Saccharomyces cerevisiae S288C: one gene and its partners. The gene in region 1 interacts genetically with each later gene. Each region holds a gene or a part of one and is shown in the gene's direction. Other genes may lie near its edges.

Region 1 (4,793 bases):
TCATTTTTATATTCCAAAATTGCTCGAAGTAAATCTCTTGTTTTCCTCCCAAATGAAGATCAATATTAAACCTTTCTGAAAATCTTTTTTAATACAGATTACATTATAGAGTTGTATACTCTTCGATCATTTAACTTCTCTTTTATGGGTCATATATCTCTAATTGTCTCTACAGTACTTTTTTTGCTTTTCCAATAAAAATCATAATCACAGCCATAGTCACAAAACTATAAGATGAAAGTACAAATGATAGAAAGGATTTTTCTGATCCAGTTGTGTTTGCTTACCGTTGTATTAGCAAGTAGTAGAGCAGTGGTTGAATTCGAAAGTACCGGAACCAAACTGGTCAACTCATTAAGGGTCTTGGCTGCTTACTCGCAGAGTTCTGTCTGTGTTGATGAAAAAATATCTGGAATCGAGAGACAAATAGAGGAAGTTAAAGATATGTATGGTAACCACTCTTTTATTCTAAAGGGTTTAAATGGTATATTGAATAACAAGGTGAATATGCTAACAAGGGAAATCCAAATGGAAACTGTTGGCAATAACACATTTGAAACAGAAACAGGGAAGCTAACTAAGGGCCTAAACCGAGCAGTAAATATATCTCCGTTCAAGTACATAAAAAAATTCAAGACCGTTTCAACAAAGAAATTTGAAAGCCTCTTGAATAAGTATGATCTGGTTGCCAAGAAGGGCGGGGAATTGACAGAGGAACAAAAGAAAAAGAAGGAGGTGCTCTCACGGATCAGTAGAGTAGTCGCTGCAACAACGATAGAGGCTGGTCTGGCACAAGGTGTGGTTGATTTATGTATAACAGTGACAACTAGTCTATGCTTAGTCTCGGCCAGCATTGGAGGCGTCGGATTTCTTATTTGGCTCACCATTATATACCAAGCTCTGACTTAGGAAAATGTTGCCGATTTTGTTTTTGCCACTCCTGTACATTGTTTAATCTCAGATCGTTGTATATATATACATATATATAGTGTTTTAACGACATTCTTATATTTGCATTTCTGCTTCTTATTACACCTAACTATTCTGTAACTGCCATGGGTAAGCATTTTTGAAGTATTAATTAACAATTAAACTTTCAAACATACCCACCCTTTCGTTGGAATAAAAATCAATTAACACCCACTGACTAGTAAATATTACTAGAATAACTGATGATTATGCCAATTTTCTGACAGTTGTTGGGTTTCCATTGTTGACGAAGGTCCTATTATTAGATATACGGAACATACTAGATCTCTCGAGCCTATCGGAACCTACTAAGCGGAATCGGCAATATACATGTTATTCATTTTTTTCGTTTTTCGTTTTACATTATTAATTTTACGTCTCAACTTGGTTCAATTTCAGAGACAGCATCTCATCACATCTATCATCTTTTTGTACCACATAAGGTAATATACACGTAATAATAGGCAATAGATGTGTGCGAATGAACTTCCAATATAATCCATTTAGTAGTGCCTTTTGTTACTAATATTCGTCAGTTTCTCAAGCTGACACTTGATTTATTCTAAACAAATTTCAATCTTGGACAATTAGTTGACATAAACTACGTTACTAATTTTTGTTGTATTAAGGGCTTAAATAATACCGGATGTCTTGGCAATTCTATCGTTAGGAGAGTAATAGTTGTCAGACTTATTGTCGGCTTGTTCGCACATCGTTACTTATCCTATATTATACATAAGATCTGGTGAAGCGAGGAGTCCCATGTCTAAACCGATTGCTCAGGTATTTACAGGTTTAACTGCTTCATTTAAGCAAGCAATTATTGAATTATATACTCAATCTTGTCTCTCCCGTTACTATTATTTCATTCGCGTTTTATACATCTTTATTATTATAAGTTTGATACGGTAACTTTACAATCGATTAATTTCTGCTGAAAGCCCAAGCTTTCATAAATTAATAGGTTTCGTGGTCTAGTCGGTTATGGCATCTGCTTAACACGCAGAACGTCCCCAGTTCGATCCTGGGCGAAATCAATTTTTTGTTTTTTTAATTCACAAGAATAACCTGGTATTGTTATAAGCAAGCCACCCTTTGCGTACGATCAAACACCCTATAAAATCTATATGCAATACTGAGATATTGTATTTTTTCTCCTTTAATTGTTTATAGTTCAGAATAACAGTTCAAAAATCTATGCCGCGCTCACAGGGTCCTGCCGGGTATTCGCCCTCCAGCTTGAAAGGGGTGGCAATGCCCAAGAGCGATGTATAGTTTAGTATCAAGGAATTGAGAGAGGTATTACACCAAGGATTTCCGTGAACGAAGTGACGACGCAAGATTAACAGATTAAATTCTGGTAGTAGGCTAAGCCGTTATTAAACTTTATTTACGGTATACCACAATACTGCTCTTTTTGTTGAGGATATGACAGACAAAGGCAAGAACGATTTAACAAGCAAAGCTAAGGACAAAGCCAGAGGCAACCCCGAGAAGCCACCATATTGGTTTGAAATCATTGTTTCTGATCCACAAAAAAGAACTGGTGACCCAGGCTCTTCATCTGGCTACGTGAGTTATCAGATATCAACAAAGACTAACAACACGTCATTTTATGATAATCGTGGCGATCCAGAATCTATTATAGTTGTACATAGAAGATACAGTGACCTATTGCTCCTGCATGATATTTTACTCAACAGGTTCCCCACCTGCATCATCCCGCCATTACCTGATAAGAAAGTTTTTCAATACATAGCAGGCGATAGGTTTAGCCAAAGATTTACACAAAAGAGATGTCATAGTTTGCAAAATTTCCTAAGAAGGGTCTCTTTGCATCCCGATCTTTCTCAATCAAAAGTCTTCAAAACTTTTTTGGTGAGTAAAGATTGGGAATCTCACCGCAAAGTCCTCCAGGATAGCTTGCAACCAAATAAAGATGAAGTTACTGATGCTTTTATGAATGCCTTCAAAACAGTTCACAAGCAAAACGAAGAATTCACTGAGATAAGGGAGAAAAGTGATAAACTAGATCGGACTGTGACAAAGATAGATAAACTTTTTCATAAGGTTGTGAAAAAAAATGATTCGATGTCTGAAGACTATACAAAGTTGGGCAGTAATTTACAGGAATTACAAGAATTGGTCACAGGCGAAAACGAGGAACTTGCTGCGAAGTTGAAGATTTTTAATGAAGGTGTAACACAGCTGTCATATGGCTTGCAAGATCTTACAAAGTATCTGGATTACGAATATATTGTTGATTTGAAGGATCTTGAACACTACATTGATAGTATGCGACAGCTGATCAAATTGAAAGACCAGAAACAGATAGACTACGAAGAACTAAGTGATTATTTAACCAGGTCAATCAAAGAAAAAAATAACTTGATTTCTGGATACGGAGGTAGTAATTTCTTTGCCAATAAATTGGAAGAACTAGCGGGAATAAATCAGGAGGCTTCACGTAGAGAAAAAATCAATAAACTAGAAGGCAAAATAACGTCATTAACAGGTGAATTAGAAAACGCTAAAAAGGTGGCGGATGGATTCGAACAGGAATGCTTGAAGGAAATAGACCATTTCGAAAGTGTAAAAACGGCTGAAATCAAGAAATCTCTGGGCTCACTAGCGGACCATCATATCGAATTCTACGAAAGGATACTTGAAGCATGGGAAAAAGTAGACGATAGTCTATAGTGGTGCTCTTAATGTTTTCCCATTACTACTGATAATACCTTGGGCACTACGATTATCTGATCACATTTAACAGAGAAATTTAAAAAAAGAAAAATATCTATATAAAAATATGTAAATGTTGCTATTATTTTATGATGTTCTGATTTTTTTCGTCAAACCTTAGATTTCTTATGTACATTAAACTTAAACATTTTGCATTGTTCTTCCAGTTCTTGGATTATATTATCTTGGTGGGAGTCAATCAAATCCCAATCGACGCTATTACTGGACAAGTCAACTTTATTCGCAAAACAAGTCCTGTAATCATCACCAAAAGTCTCAATGAATGCTTCTTCATTAAGATACTTTGACCATTCCATAGGCGGAAACGTGTTTTTATCCAACACTCTGTCACTCTTGGACCGTGGCTTTGGCGCCCTTTCATTTTGTCTTACATAAAAGTATCTCAGCAGCATTATTGCTTCTTTCCTCAAGATCCCCGGTATACTCTCGTACCCTGCCGCACTATTGTTCTTGGGCACTAATGTACACGTATCATGATTTACTGACAAGACAGTACCGTTGCCTCCAAATCTCTCGTTGCCACAACCGAACACCACCTTTCCAATGTCTAATTGCTTGAGAGCAGATGCACACATTATACACGGTTCTACAGTAACATATAGAGTAATGTCTTTGAACACGTCAACAACTCCTCGGGAGCCCAACATCGCCTTGATCTGATCGATCCCCATGAACTCAGCATGTGCTACTCCAGTTAATGACTTGTTCGTATCGTTCATGCCATAAGCCATCACCTGGCCAGTTGGCGTATGTACAAAGATGCAAGCTACCGGTGTCTCATCGTGGTCAAGAGCGTATCTAGCCAAACGGACAGCTGTCCTCATATGTTTAATATGCTGCATAGTGTGAGTCCTCTAGTTTTTACCGCAGCCACCAGCCGCTTCTCGAGCAAAGTGTAGATCCCATTAGGACTCATCATTCATCTAATTTTGCTATGTTAGCTGCAACTTTCTATTTTAATAGAACCTTCTGGAAATTTCACCCGGCGCGGCACCCGAGGAACTGGACAGCGTGTCGAAAAAGTTGCTTTTTTATATAAAGGACACGAAAAGGGTTCTCTG
Region 2 (5,221 bases), on another chromosome or scaffold:
GCAAAAAGGCAGTATTAATGAAGGTTGAATATGGATCTTAATATAATCGTATAAGAGGGGCATAAAATATACGCCGATTGGTTCAACATTAATTATGATCAATATAACAATGCGTCTGGTAATTACCATAACACTTAATGTAGCAACTCGTATAACAAACGTATCATGCTCAATTAATATAACCTTATCTCTGCTTCAGCACTGTCTGAGCTACTCTTTTAACGTTTCCTTTTGCAATAGGTACCTTCACACTAAAACATATACAATGGGTGCATTTAAATTGTTACCATAGCAACTCATATTACGATTCATTACCACTCATTTCAACACAACAACCTCTTGCTATCAAACTTACTTTTGCTTTTATTGCAGATATCTCGTTATTTCTGCAAAAACAGCATTCATTGGTAATGACAAGGTCAATTTTGGCTTTTATACATTTCACATGTACAGGATAGTGGAACACATTCCAAGGAGGTGAAGAACGTCCCCTTTGATACTTCCATACAAGGACGATTAAAAATACATAAGAGAACAGATCTGCAAAAATGCGTTTTACTTCCTTTACAATCTCAATGCCGATAAATAAGCGCAATGAAGATTACTCAGCAACTGTATGTTGGCTCATGCGAAATATGAATGTTTCATTCGAGATTACTTATCTTGTTTAACGCTTGAACAGCGTACTGTAACTTCTTGCTACAGAATGATGGACCCCATTATAATACTACCGCCTTGCGAATGCGCAATTTATTATGATCATGAACCCTGAGAAATCAAATGAATATTTAAAGTGTATGCAAAATGGACAAGAACATTATGGTAACATTGTCTACGACAGAATTTATTTTCTGACTTTAATAGTGACGGTTATACGAAATTAATGATTCTTCGAGAGGCAACTCACTTTACTGCAAATGGACCTGCAGAGTTTGCATCTAGAGGACAATATGCTGCACAAAAACGACCAATATTTACCTTCAACGAAAACAACCTTAAGAAACCCCTTCAACAACAACGCAGCTATCGTATCGTAGTGGTCTCCATAATGCGTGCACCTCCTTTAGCACTTATCGAGTAATAACATACGCTAGATAAGTAAAGTGTCCAGGATATTATAATTATATGATATTTCGGGAATGGTTTCTATATCTAGTTTTTTAACTTAGCCTAGACATTCGCCTCGTATTATAAAATACATGAAAGTGACTTGACTGCTTCATGAGAGTTATACTAAGAGCATTCATAACTAGAAGACACATTTTAGTTTTTATTACTGAGTAAGGGTTTAGTTTGTACATACAAGGCAACATGAAATTCAAGGTGCTGATGTTCAGTAAAGCCGCCTAGCTTTACGTGCCGAAATATTGATAATATGTCTCAGCCACTTCCTGGCTTAACTATTTAAATGATATTTCTGCATCCATCGGTATGGCGCACAATAAACGGTATCTGAGAATATCGAAAAGAACACCACAATACTACTGAGTGCAAACACAGAAGAGCGTAGGTGATTCAACTAATTGAGTTAGAAACTGCATCAACGCTGCATAATAAAGATGCTGCTGTTCAGGATCATTTTTTTTAAAGACTGAAAAAAATTGCTTATCGCTTTGCACGCGACTCTTTTTTCTATTATTTGAAAAATAGCTTAAGGGAAAAGAAAAGAATAGGTAGCTTTCAAAGCAAGAACCTCTACGATAAAGGACAAAGCTAGAAGCAAACACCGCAAAAAAAATGAGACCCGTTGTATCCACTGGTAAGGCATGGTGTTGTACCGTCCTATCGGCATTTGGTGTAGTAATTCTTTCCGTCATTGCTCATCTCTTCAACACAAACCATGAATCCTTTGTAGGATCAATAAACGATCCTGAAGATGGACCTGCGTATGTTATATTTTCTTATTTATTTCGCCGTTACCCATTTACCATCTCTTATATCTCTCCTCCTTACTAACAATTATATTTTAACCCTATTGTTTATAGTGTTGCACATACTGTTTATTTGGCTGCCTTGGTATACCTCGTGTTTTTCGTATTCTGTGGGTTCCAAGTTTACCTAGCCAGAAGAAAACCTTCGATCGAGTTGCGTTAGTCTTGAAGCCAATAGGATAATACCAAATGCATTAATATCGTCCAACTGTTCTATATACTTATCGTAACCTCGTTCCATGTGACATTCTTTTTTATTACACTTTTCGACAATAGCGAATTGAGTGAAATATTATGAAAGAATATATAGTATAAATATATACATTTATATATGAATTCTAATCAATAAAAGTCACAGTAACCAGCTTTTCCTAGCTTTTCGAAGTTTCGGAAGTATGACAAAATATGAGCGTGACCCTGAATTGGTGAACTTTCTATCGAAAGTGGAGGATTTGAACTCTAAGAGATACAGTAATATTCCTAGTTCAAAACCAGCGGGGGAAGCGCTTTCACCAGTTAGAAGTCACAACTCTGGGGAATACAGAAGGGCTGATATGATGACAGGGAAAAATGTGGAAGGTTGCGACAATTTGGCCTACCGATCTGCGTACAATTATGAAATGACGTTTTCTCCAAAGAAGACTCATTACTCATTAAGTGAGCTGAATCTCGAACGAATAACGCCAAGGCCGGATTTGGAGGGAAGTGCCTCTCAAAAAGAAAAAAAATTTTTAATTTCTGAAGAAGATTATTTATTATTGCAGAAATTGAAAGCCTCTCAAACATATAATGATTCCAATGCTGACAAAAATTTGCCTTCCTTTGAAAAAGGTCCTCGTATGCCCAGTCGGGGTCGACCCAGACCGAGAGAGAAGGAAATAATCACCATCCAATATGATTTTGAATTACCAGGAAGAGCCGATATACCCTCCTCCTCCTCTTCTTCATCACCACCGCCTTTGCCCACAAGGCGTGATCATATCAAAATCACAGATGGGAATGAAGAGAAACCGCTTCTTCCAACAAGGCCTAACAAAGCAGAAGTTACAGAAAGTCCGTCATCAAGGTCAATAAAACCGGATGCTGTGGTACCTGAGCGCGTTAAGCCTGCTCCACCTGTCTCACGCTCTACAAAACCGGCGAGCTTTTTAAGTTCTTTGGAAGATAACAAATTGACAAAGGCGAAGAGTTATAATTCGGAAATGGAAACTCCCAAAACAACTGTAAAAAGTTCTCATATCGATTACTTGGATTCCATACAACTAAAACCAACCACCTTATCTCCTACAATGAAAAATAAACCTAAACCAACCCCTCCTTCTCCACCTGCGAAAAGAATTCCAAGATCTGAAAGTTTTATCAAGTCTATGCTAAACTCGAATCTCACGACAACTTCCAAGCCTTCTTTGCCTGAAAAACCTCAAAAGCTACGGAATGCAAATTTGGCCGCCCATAAGACCAAACCAAGCATACCGCCAAAGAAAGTGGAGTTGAATATAGTATTACCTGAGCTACGTCCCGTAGAAACTTCTCCAACAAAGCAGAACTTCGAAAACTCAATCGATTTGCCCAAGTTACGATCCAGCAACCGTAACATTAAAAAAGAAGAGGAGGACAGTATTCCAGAAGCAATAAAAGGTATACAAAATCTGAAGAAAACCAAACAGCAGAAGCCTGCAATCCCTCAGAAAAAATCATTTCTAACAAATAATTCGAAAAATACTACACTCAAAAATGGTGATGATATTAACAAGTTAAATGACGAAATTGAAGCTCTATCATTGCGGAATAACCTGAAGAAACGGCCACCAACGGCGCCACAACGTAAAATTTCTTTGCCAGAGGCATTGCGAAAAGTCGAATTGATGAAAAAATCTAAAACCGAGCCTGTTTTAGAGTCCTCAAACGAACTGAGCATAAACGCAAAATTAGACGCAATAATTGCCTCTAGAAACTTAAGAGCATCTAATACTCTACCAGAACTTAGCGGTGTTAACACTAATATTGCAACTTCTGACAAGTATACTACTTCTAGAGATGAAACAGTGAAGGAAACTAAACCATTAGTTCACCCGAATAAAAATAGGACTCGTGGTCCCAGAAGAAAACTTCCAACACGCGTGTAACTACAGAGTAGACCTCCGTATTTTACACATGTATGTACGTACATATGATGTAACAATAATATGATAATTTAATGGGATACATGTATTATCGTCACTTCCCACGTTTGCGCTTTGACATTTGCTCCCCTTATGAACCTGAAGGAATATAAATCATCGATCTTTTTGCTACACTTTTCCTCCCTTATTAGAAAATAGCAGTAAAATTACAGGCTATTCAAACCCTGAAACATCTCAATTATGGCTTGGACTAGTACATTACCAGCGCATCTACTGAACCTGATCAAAAACTCCAAATATGTTCACGTGGCCACCTGTTCTAAAGACTGCATCCCTTCAGTGGCATTGATGAACTATATCTATGTGCCAGGTGAAAAACTGTTCGGTCAAACAGATAATAAGAATGACTACATTATATTTGTTTCTCCTCAGGACACACAAAAGTTTTACAACATCAAGGAGAACCCTAAGGTCGCCCTGTTGTTTCACGATTGGATCATCGCGAATAATTTGTCAGTGGGCAAGGAAAGCATCTCTGGGACTCCGACGCCGACTTCTATTCCTCATGAAGAGCAACGTCAAAGCGAGCTTTTAAATTTGTTACAGGAGTTAAATCAAGCCGAATTGAACCAAATGAGCGCATCTATTGGTGGCGAAACCGAAATTGTCAATCCTGAAAGTGAAGAATCCAAGTACTATAAAGATTTAATACTAAAGGCTAATCCTGATGCGAAAGCTTTTATATTTGAAAAGAACACCGCCGTTGTTAAAGTTAGAATTGATAATGCTAGGGTATCCAATAATGAGAACAGAACAATGTTTCTAAGTAAAGGGAAGAGTTAACTGTCCTCTGCTTTTCTTTATCTATTTTGCATACGATTCTGTATTTAATTATTCTGTTTTTTTTTTTTTTTTATTTTTTATTTTCATGTACACAAGAAATCTACATTAGCACGTTAATCAATTGACTAGTTACCTTCTTGACCAAAATCTCTAGTGAACTGTTCTTGCTTCAGCAAGTCATCCTCATTCACGGTAGGTCTCGTCGATTTGATAGCCTTTAAGAAATCCTTTATGGTGAGATCTGGTTCTTTTAATTCATCAGCTTCAATATCCGTCCAACTCATCTCGATGGCGCCATCATCACCTGGAGAGCATGGTGTTAGT
Region 3 (4,173 bases), on another chromosome or scaffold:
TGATACAACAAGTTATCGGTATTTTCAGGGTCATTAGTTATAGGACTTGAAGAAAAGACTGAATCAATATTCAAAATTTGTGTGTCATCCCTATTAGGTATAGGTGATGCAATTGCAGGTAGCGGTGGGGAGATGAAGGGAGTGTTTGTCAAAGTCTCTATTTTTAACTTAGTATATTTCAAAACATCATCATTCAAAATGGAAAGGATATTGTCCATTACAGTATTTTGTTGGCTGCTGTTCAGCATGGATATCCAAGAACATAATTGGTTGATGTCTTGGCTGAAATTGGTGCCCATGTTCGGATCGTTTTTTTGGGATTGAGACTGTTGTTGCGATTGACGGGATTGCGGCAAAGGAATTGAACCACTCTGCGATGGAATACCCAAAATATTATTTGGAGATCTCTGAAATGAATCCAAATACATAGATGTTGAAGATAAAGTAGATTGCAACGCCTTTGGAGATTGCATCATGGGGGAAACGATAGCAGAACCAGCTGCTGTAGACGAAACTGTTTGAATATTAAGGGAAGGCAACGACGCCTGCTGTTGCTGTTGTTGCTGCTGCTGTTGTTGCTGGAGCGGCTGAGCCCTGGTTCCCGCAGTGTCTAGCATAAAGGATTGCTGATCAAGCATGTCATTGAGTGACATACTATGGGATTGAGGGGACAAAACATTCGCGGTCACGGATGAATTGCCCTGGTTATTGCCAGAATTGCTGCCCGGATTGTTCTTGTTTATGGCAGAAGATTGTGGTGATAGCAAAACGGCGCCTGGATGAGCTCCTCTAGACATGTTATATGGTGACTTGGAACCTGTGGGGAATTCCTCATACGGATGTTTCATGATTTCTTTGCTGACAATTACTTTATATGAACAGTTTTTCTCTTCTGAAAACAATATCTATAGTATATACAGTGATCTAGATTGCCCAAGGGACGAAGTACCAGTGTGACTGCAAAACACAATGTATTCGAGACAATCCTATGGTAGTAGTAGTAGTCGTTGTTAGATATCTCATCGCCAATTTGCTACCAAACTTATTCTGGAAAAAAATAATGAAAAAAATTTGCGTTTTTTCTTTTTCCAACAGATAATTTGCTGTGGTGCACGGTCAAATGGCAGCTGTATAACCATTAACTCTCTCATTGTGGAAGAGGTCTTCTAGGCACAACATCGATGAGAAAGTCAAACATGTCACTCTTTTGCAGGGCCTCTGCGATATCTGCCTTCTGCAAAGTTCGTCTTTTATTCCTTTCTGCCACGCACCAAGCTCTCATAGTCAGTTCTGTAATAAAGATCTCACAGGCTTTGGCGAAAATGATGGGGGCCTCTGCACTAATCATCTTGACATCTTCATCCGTCTTCATGACCTTGCGGATTCTCGCAAATGGTAAGGAATGTGATTTGAAGTCATCTTGATGCTCGGAACCAGGTTCATTCGTAGACTCGATCTCGTTGATTAATTCTTGCCAATAACGGATCATTATCTCCTTGTAGTGGCCCACCAATCCCTGACCAACGTTCCTAAACACATCATACTCTTCATCGTCCTCGTCCATTTCTCCGTCTGCGCCGTCGCTGTTTCCATTATCTTCGCCTTCAAGCGATCCTCGACCACTTGGCGGTAGATTAGCTTGGTCATGGCCCGCCTGGATAGCTTGCAACTCCTGTACCATCCGGAACTCTTCCTCAGAAACAGGTAGCCTCGTATTTTCCCCTTCCCCTTCGTTTTCTTGCAGTTGTTGCTGTTCTGAATATTGCCTTGGCATATTCATTTCCTCTCTCTGAATCATCGTACTGGGTTGCGGTCCCTCCGGGAGCGATTCTTGAGGTCCTTGTCCTTGTTGTGGTGAGAAATTCCTATCAGTCATTATGCGAGTAAACAATCCTGATGCTGCAAATGCGTCACAACTCTTACATTATCTCCTATTCCCCTCTATTCTTCTTCTTTGCTTACGCGGTATTATAGCAGCTAAGGAAGCTTAATCTCCGGAAGCAATCTTAAGGGAGCCGTCCCACGCAAATTTAAGTTTAACTACGGAAAAGGGAGCACAACACTCTTCGATTTTGACATTTCGGGATTTCTACACTCTAGTAAGTATTGCGCTAGGAGGGACCATGATTTACTATGAGGACTTGGCTATGGGGTGCTCAGAATTGCATAAGTGAACTCGAGGATAGCTTTGGGCACTATCACGTACTAAGTGATATGTATTGATATGTAAACCTGCAATGAATGAATGGATTAAAACGGATCTTAATACTGCATAAAAGAGGACGGCAAGAACAGCTGAGAAGCGGTACGCATCTACACAAAGTATGCCAAGAGAATTCAAATCCTTTGGGTCTACAGAAAAGTCTTTGCTGTCAAAAGGACATGGAGAGCCTAGTTACAGCGAAATATACGCTGAGCCTGAGAACTTTTTAGAGATTGAGGTGCACAACCCTAAAACTCATATACCAAATGGGATGGATTCGAAGGGGATGTTTACAGATTACGAAATAATATGCCGTACAAACTTGCCAAGTTTTCACAAGAGGGTATCGAAAGTAAGGAGACGATACTCAGACTTTGAATTCTTCCGCAAATGCTTGATCAAGGAAATTTCTATGCTTAATCACCCAAAAGTCATGGTACCTCATTTACCGGGTAAAATTCTCTTGAGTAATAGATTTAGTAACGAAGTCATTGAAGAGAGGAGACAAGGTTTGAATACCTGGATGCAATCGGTAGCCGGGCACCCGCTTTTACAATCTGGTTCTAAAGTTCTCGTGAGGTTCATTGAAGCTGAAAAGTTTGTCGGCTGAAAAGAACTCTTTTACGTGAATAAATAATATAGATTATATAAAAGAATGAATAGAAAAATTTAAATAAATAATGAATAAAATAATTAAATAAATAATGAATCCTGTGATTAAGTTAGCGTGTACTTTGGTCCATCTCCACCTTCGGGTACTTTCCAAGTAATATCTTGTCTGGGCGCCTTAATATCACAGGTCTTGCAATGGATACAATTTTGTGAATTGATTTGCAGTCTCGTACCCACAGGCGATTTTTCATCTTTGACGAATTCGTAGACACCTGCTGGGCAGAACCTCGATTCAACACCTTTCCAAACGGGAAAGCTTCTCTCGGCGTACTTTACCATATCTTGTCCAGGAACCCTCAAGTGACATGGTTCATCATCATCATGGTAGGTTCCGGTTCTAGACACGGAGGTCAATATATCAAAGGATATCACACCATCAGGCTTGGGGTATTCTATCGGTTTGTACTTGGAAGCAGGTTCCAAAATTTCACCGTCATTTTTTTCATCAAATTTCAGTGTCCACGGAACTTTTCCCTTCAATATCAAAGAATCGATTCCAGAGTAGATCATACCACCATATCCACCAAGTTTCCCGCTGAAGGACGGTCTAATATTACGCACTTCGTATAGTTCCTTATATATCGATGATTCTTTGAATGCACTTTCATATGATTCCAAGTTAATAGTTGCCTCCTTATCAAACATAGCCATTTTGGCGTCTTCGTCTTCAACCTCTTCTAAGACAGGTAACCCTTTTATGGACTCAAAGATACTTTCAGCGGCAAGTAATCCACTCTTCATCGCAGTATGAGTACCCTTGATCTTTGGAACGTTCATGAAACCCGCGCTAGCCCCTACCAAAACACCACCAGGGAAATTCAACTTGGGTACAGATTGCAGTCCACCTTCATTCAATGCTCTTGCAGCATAAGCGATACACTTACCTCCTTCTAAAACTTTTGAATAGTATGGATGATGTTTCATCTTTTGAAACTCTTTGTAAGGTGAAACATAGGGATTCTTATAATCTAACCCCACGACAAGGCCCACAGTGACCAGCCCATCACCAAAATGGTACTGGAAACCACCGCCATAAACATCATTTGTCAACGGGTACCCCATGGTATGAGCTGCAAATCCCTTGTTAAAATTCTCCGGCTTGACTTCCCAAACTTCTTTAATACCTAATCCATAAGTTTGGTGCTGTCTGCCTTTTCTTAAATCATATTTTGCCAAGGCTTGTTTTGTTAAGGAACCATGACAGCCCTCTGCTAATACAGTTTGTCTAGCCCAAAATTCCATCCCACGTTCGAAGGTTTCCTTAGGCTTACCGGACTTCGAAATACCAGCATCTTTAG
Region 4 (5,183 bases), on another chromosome or scaffold:
TCTCCAGCAGGTAACTACTTAAGCACTTGGGAGAGAGCGTCTATACAAGACCCAAATCACAAGAACGTTAAAGTTTGGTATTTGAATAAACCATTTAAGAAAGATTGCGTTTCGGAGGATATAGTCCCTGCTTACGAATATCAAGCCAAATCCCAAAGCGGTTGGTTTTTACAATTCTCCAAATTAGACAATTATGGGCTAAGACTTTTTAAACACGACTTGAAGATTGTTAAATTAAGCTCCGCTAATGCCGACAATTTCGACTTCCAATCTCCGTTTGCTGTCTTGTCTGATGATGAAACGTCCCAACATTTCACCACCTACCTAATCTCTCCAGCTGAACATCCAACAATTTGTACTTTCACACCAGAAAAGGGTGGTAAACCGGCTCAATTAATCATATGGGCCCTCTCTGAAGGTAAAATCACCAAGAAAATTGCCTCCAAAACTTTCTTTAAAGCTGATTCCTGCCAATTGAAATGGAATCCATTAGGTAATGCTATTTTATGTTTAGCTATTACTGATTTTGATTCCTCAAACAAATCATATTATGGTGAAAACACACTATACTTACTGTCTTTCCAAGGTGTCAACGGGACTTTGGGTGGTAACTCTGTACGTGTTTCTTTAACCACTGGACCTGTCCACGATTTCACTTGGTCGCCAACTTCAAGGCAATTCGGTGTCATCGCTGGTTACATGCCAGCAACCATTTCCTTTTTTGACTTAAGAGGTAATGTTGTCCATTCATTACCTCAACAAGCCAAAAATACCATGCTTTTCTCTCCCTCTGGTCATTACATTCTTATCGCCGGGTTTGGTAATTTACAGGGCTCCGTGGAAATCCTAGATCGTCTCGACAAATTCAAGTGTGTGAGTAAATTTGACGCTACCAACACTTCTGTCTGCAAATGGTCACCGGGTGGAGAATTTATCATGACAGCTACCACTTCACCAAGATTGAGAGTGGATAACGGCGTTAAAATATGGCATGTATCAGGCTCTTTAGTATTTGTTAAAGAGTTCAAGGAGCTTTTGAAGGTAGACTGGAGGTCACCATGTAATTACAAAACTTTGGAAAACAAAGACGAAGCATTTTTCGAGAACCATATCATTAATAACTGGGAACCGCTACCTGATTCGACCACATCTTCACTTGATCCTAAAATATCCAATAAATCAGAATTGCAAATACATTCTAGCGTTCAAGAGTACATAAGTCAACACCCAAGCAGAGAAGCAAGCTCCAATGGAAACGGATCTAAGGCCAAAGCTGGAGGCGCTTATAAACCACCTCACGCAAGAAGAACAGGCGGTGGACGTATTGTCCCCGGAGTTCCTCCTGGTGCAGCAAAGAAGACCATCCCAGGGCTAGTTCCGGGCATGAGTGCCAACAAGGACGCCAACACCAAGAACAGGAGAAGAAGAGCCAATAAAAAGTCAAGTGAAACGTCACCTGATTCTACTCCGGCCCCATCTGCTCCTGCCTCCACAAATGCCCCCACAAACAATAAAGAAACTTCTCCAGAGGAGAAGAAAATAAGATCTTTACTAAAGAAATTAAGGGCTATTGAAACCTTGAAGGAAAGACAGGCCGTCGGTGACAAACTAGAAGATACGCAAGTTCTAAAAATTCAAACTGAAGAAAAAGTGTTGAAAGATTTGGAAAAGTTGGGTTGGAAGGATGAATAAACTAGAAGAAACTGATGTATCCATACAACTGTGTAAATATTAACAACGTCAAATAATACTACTTTGAATTGTTTTTTACTGTTTCCCAGGAGAATTACGCCAACCTCCCCCCTTTCTTTTTTTCCCTTGTTTTATTGTACTTTTCCACATATTTTTTTAACATCAAATAGTAATTGATACATACATAATTAGTGAGCATTTTCCTTATTTTTACGTCTCTTCTTGGCGGATTGCCACCAGCCGCATCTTACAATGTATGCCACGATACCGCCAGGCAATAAATGAATATGGAGTGTCACTTCGGCTCCGTAAGCCGGCGCTGCATCCGCCACCACAGTTTTTTTTAGCGTCGCTGTCGCCGCTTTGCCACAGAAAAAGAAAAAAAAAAAAGAAACGGCGCCGTGTAGGGTTTTGTATAACAGATCGGCCTAGCAGCCAGGAGATGGCACGGCGCCAACTGAAAAGTTAGACTGTGGAATTGCCGTTCACCACACTCGAGTGGCATCTAATAAACTGCCACAGTTGACTCAAGCGGTGCTACCTTCGCAGTTATTGCACACCATGGTAACACATAACACAGTCTTGCATTACAAATGTGGTTCCTCCTACTTGGCGGTGAATTTCTTGAGTCAGCCCGTTATTTTCATATGGTGATGTAAGATTACATACAGTATATATATATAAGGATGATTCTCACACAAACTTTTCCGCTGTTCATCATATTTTGTTTTTGGATTAGTTTCACATTCTGTAGAAATCTTTAAAGACAAGAGAAGAGAAAACAAAGGCGGAGCAATGTCGGAAGGAAGAACGTTTCTGTCACAGTTGAATGTCTTCAACAAGGAGAACTATCAATTTTCTTCTTCTACTACAAAAAAGGAAGTAAGTAACTCGACAGTGGATGCTGACAACGGTGCCTCCGATTTTGAGGCAGGCCAGCAATTTGCTACAGAATTGGACCAAGGTGAAAAGCAGTTAGGTATTTTGTCGTGTATTGGGCTTATCTGTAATAGAATGCTTGGTACCGGTGTTTTCGCCGTTTCCTCGACCATTTACACACTATGTGGGTCTGTGGGGCTTGCATTAATTATGTGGGCAGTTGGCGCCATTATTGCCATTTCTGGGTTATATGTATACATGGAATTCGGTACGGCTATACCGAAAAATGGTGGTGAAAAAAACTACCTGGAGGCTATTTTCAGGAAACCAAAATTCTTCATTACCTGTATGTATGCTGCGTATATTTTCTTCCTAGGTTGGGCTGCTGGTAATTCCATCAATACAGCTATTATGTTTTTAACTGCTGCTGATACTGAAGTGACCAAATGGAATCAAAGAGGTATTGGTGTGGCCGTCGTTTTTTTTGCATTCCTAATTAATTCTCTGAATGTCAAGATTGGTCTATATTTGCAAAACATTTTAGGTATTTTCAAGATTGGTATTGTCCTCTTCATTTCTATTACCGGTTGGGTTGCCCTTGGCGGTGGTCTCAAAGATGGTTATCAATCTCACAACTTTCGTAATGCTTTTGAAGGTACTGAAACCGCCACTGCTTATGGTATTGTTAACGCCTTATATAGTGTTATTTGGTCGTTTGTCGGTTACTCCAATGTTAACTATGCACTTGGTGAAGTTAAGAACCCTGTGAGAACTTTGAAGATTGCTGGTCCTACATCGATGGTCTTCTTGGCTATAATCTACATTTTTGTGAACATTGCTTACTTCGCTGTGGTTCCAAAAGATAAGTTAATTTCTTCAAAATTGATTTTAGCTGCTGACTTCTTCGATATTGTGTTTGGCGGCCAAGCCAAGAGAGCAGCAGCCGCACTGGTCGGGTTGAGTGCCTTAGGAAATGTTCTTTCTGTCATTTTTTCTCAGGGTAGAATTATTCAACAACTAGGACGTGAAGGTGTGTTGCCCTTTTCTAATTTCTTTGCCTCTTCTAAGCCATTCAACTCCCCAATGGTTGGTTTGTTTCAACATTTTATTGTTTGTACAGTAACCATTTTAGCCCCACCTCCAGGTGATGCATATTTGCTAGTCCAAAATTTAATTTCCTACCCAATGAATATTATTAATTTTGCCATTAGCGCGGGTTTGCTTTGGATATACTGGCAACGTAGACAAGGTAAAATTGAATGGAACCCACCAATTAAGGCCGGTGTTTTTGTTACGGGATTTTTCACATTATCCAATTTATACCTGATTATTGCTCCTTACGTTCCACCTTCAAATGGCGAGTCGGTGTATTCAAGCATGCCATACTGGATCCACTGTGTAATTGCTTGGGGTATTTTCTTCTTTGGTGGTGTTTACTACGTTGTTTGGGCCCAATTATTGCCAAGATGGGGCCACTACAAATTGGTTTCCAAGGATGTGCTTGGTGAAGATGGGTTCTGGAGAGTCAAAATTGCCAAAGTTTATGATGACACTATTGGCGATGTCGATACACAAGAAGACGGCGTTATTGAAACGAATATAATCGAACATTACAAAAGTGAACAAGAAAAATCGCTGTAACCAAAAAGGTACTTACCATCTCATCTCGATTCTTATAATCACGTATGAACATTCTTATAATTGCATTTTCTTTATACAAAATATATAGGTACCAAACCTCATTATAATTTCTGCCATTTAATAGTTTAAGATGCTATTCCGTTTCGTATTTTTTCAATTTTTATACCTACTATTGCGCGAAATCAAAATAGCATACTAAGAAAAAGCAATATCATGAATTGCTGATGAGATAGATTCAAATTGGAATTAACTAAATCTATCAGCAACGCTATAAACACAGATAAGCGCTCTATAAAATCGTTTGTCTAACGTTTTATATAGTTCTTTATTGCTCCCTTACCCTCTTTCCGTCAATAGTGATTGTTGTCTCGGGAAAGCTTTTTTTTTTATTAATCAAAGGCCCAATTGAGTTACAACTGAAATTAAGCTGAGTTGGCGGAACAGTGTGGTATTAGCGAAGGGAAAATCTGTGAAGTGCCCTAGCTACAAAACAGAGATAAAAAAAATTATATTTCAAGCATGGTGGAGCAAGATAATGGGTTTTTACAGAAGCTACTCAAAACACAATACGATGCTGTCTTCCATTTAAAGGATGAAAATGGTATAGAAATATATCCAATATTCAATGTACTGCCACCTAAAAAAGAATATCCAGACTATTACATTATAATAAGGAATCCGATATCTTTAAACACTTTAAAGAAACGATTGCCCCATTATACATCGCCACAAGATTTTGTTAACGATTTTGCGCAAATTCCTTGGAATGCAATGACATACAATGCAAAAGATTCAGTAATTTACAAATATGCCATTCTTCTTGAGTCTTTTATTAAAGGAAAGATCGTGCACAATATAAGAAAACATTATCCCGAGGTGACATATCCATCTCTAGGTCGAATTCCGGAAATATTCGCAGAGAGTATGCAACCCTCCGATTTATCCTCGAACCCCATTAATACACAGGAAAA

What was found.
Region 2: mutations in SNX4 (region 1) and BSP1 together harm fitness more than expected from each alone (negative genetic interaction), as found in Saccharomyces cerevisiae (2 studies listed by BioGRID).
Region 3: of SNX4 (region 1) and SNX3, changing one enhances a phenotype caused by changing the other (phenotypic enhancement), as found in Saccharomyces cerevisiae (2 studies listed by BioGRID, with this or other methods).
Region 4: mutations in SNX4 (region 1) and MUP1 together harm fitness more than expected from each alone (negative genetic interaction), as found in Saccharomyces cerevisiae (2 studies listed by BioGRID).

The regions. Positions count from the first base shown.
Region 1 is NC_001142.9:376,428-381,220, forward strand, and holds SNX4 (Snx4p), read left to right. Parts: upstream 1-2,397; coding exon 2,398-3,669; downstream 3,670-4,793. Other genes in the region: IRC18 (Irc18p), read left to right, coding at 235-909; TAD2 (tRNA(adenine34) deaminase), read right to left, coding at 3,822-4,574. UniProt on the Saccharomyces cerevisiae protein: Sorting nexin, involved in the separation or division of vacuoles throughout the entire life cycle of the cells.
Region 2 is NC_001148.4:881,502-886,722, forward strand, and holds BSP1 (Bsp1p), read left to right. Parts: upstream 1-2,326; coding exon 2,327-4,057; downstream 4,058-5,221. Other genes in the region: YPR170W-B (uncharacterized protein), read left to right, coding at 1,738-1,886, 1,986-2,094; YPR172W (pyridoxal 5'-phosphate synthase), read left to right, coding at 4,295-4,897; AAA family ATPase VPS4, read right to left, coding at 5,023-5,221. UniProt on the Saccharomyces cerevisiae protein: Recruits the capping protein complex to actin patches and the actomyosin contractile ring, and/or stabilizes their interaction. May serve as an adapter to link INP52 and INP53 to the cortical actin cytoskeleton. Binds F-actin.
Region 3 is NC_001147.6:1,007,864-1,012,036, reverse strand, and holds SNX3 (Snx3p), read left to right. Parts: upstream 1-2,324; coding exon 2,325-2,813; downstream 2,814-4,173. Other genes in the region: VTS1 (Vts1p), read right to left, coding at 1-848; HAP5 (Hap5p), read right to left, coding at 1,148-1,876; CIR2 (electron-transferring-flavoprotein dehydrogenase), read right to left, coding at 2,921-4,173. UniProt on the Saccharomyces cerevisiae protein: Required for retention of late Golgi membrane proteins. Component of the retrieval machinery that functions by direct interaction with the cytosolic tails of certain TGN membrane proteins during the sorting/budding process at the prevacuolar compartment.
Region 4 is NC_001139.9:596,930-602,112, forward strand, and holds MUP1 (Mup1p), read left to right. Parts: upstream 1-2,487; coding exon 2,488-4,212; downstream 4,213-5,183. Other genes in the region: YGR054W (translation initiation factor 2A), read left to right, coding at 1-1,692; RSC subunit protein RSC1, read left to right, coding at 4,732-5,183. UniProt on the Saccharomyces cerevisiae protein: High affinity permease for methionine.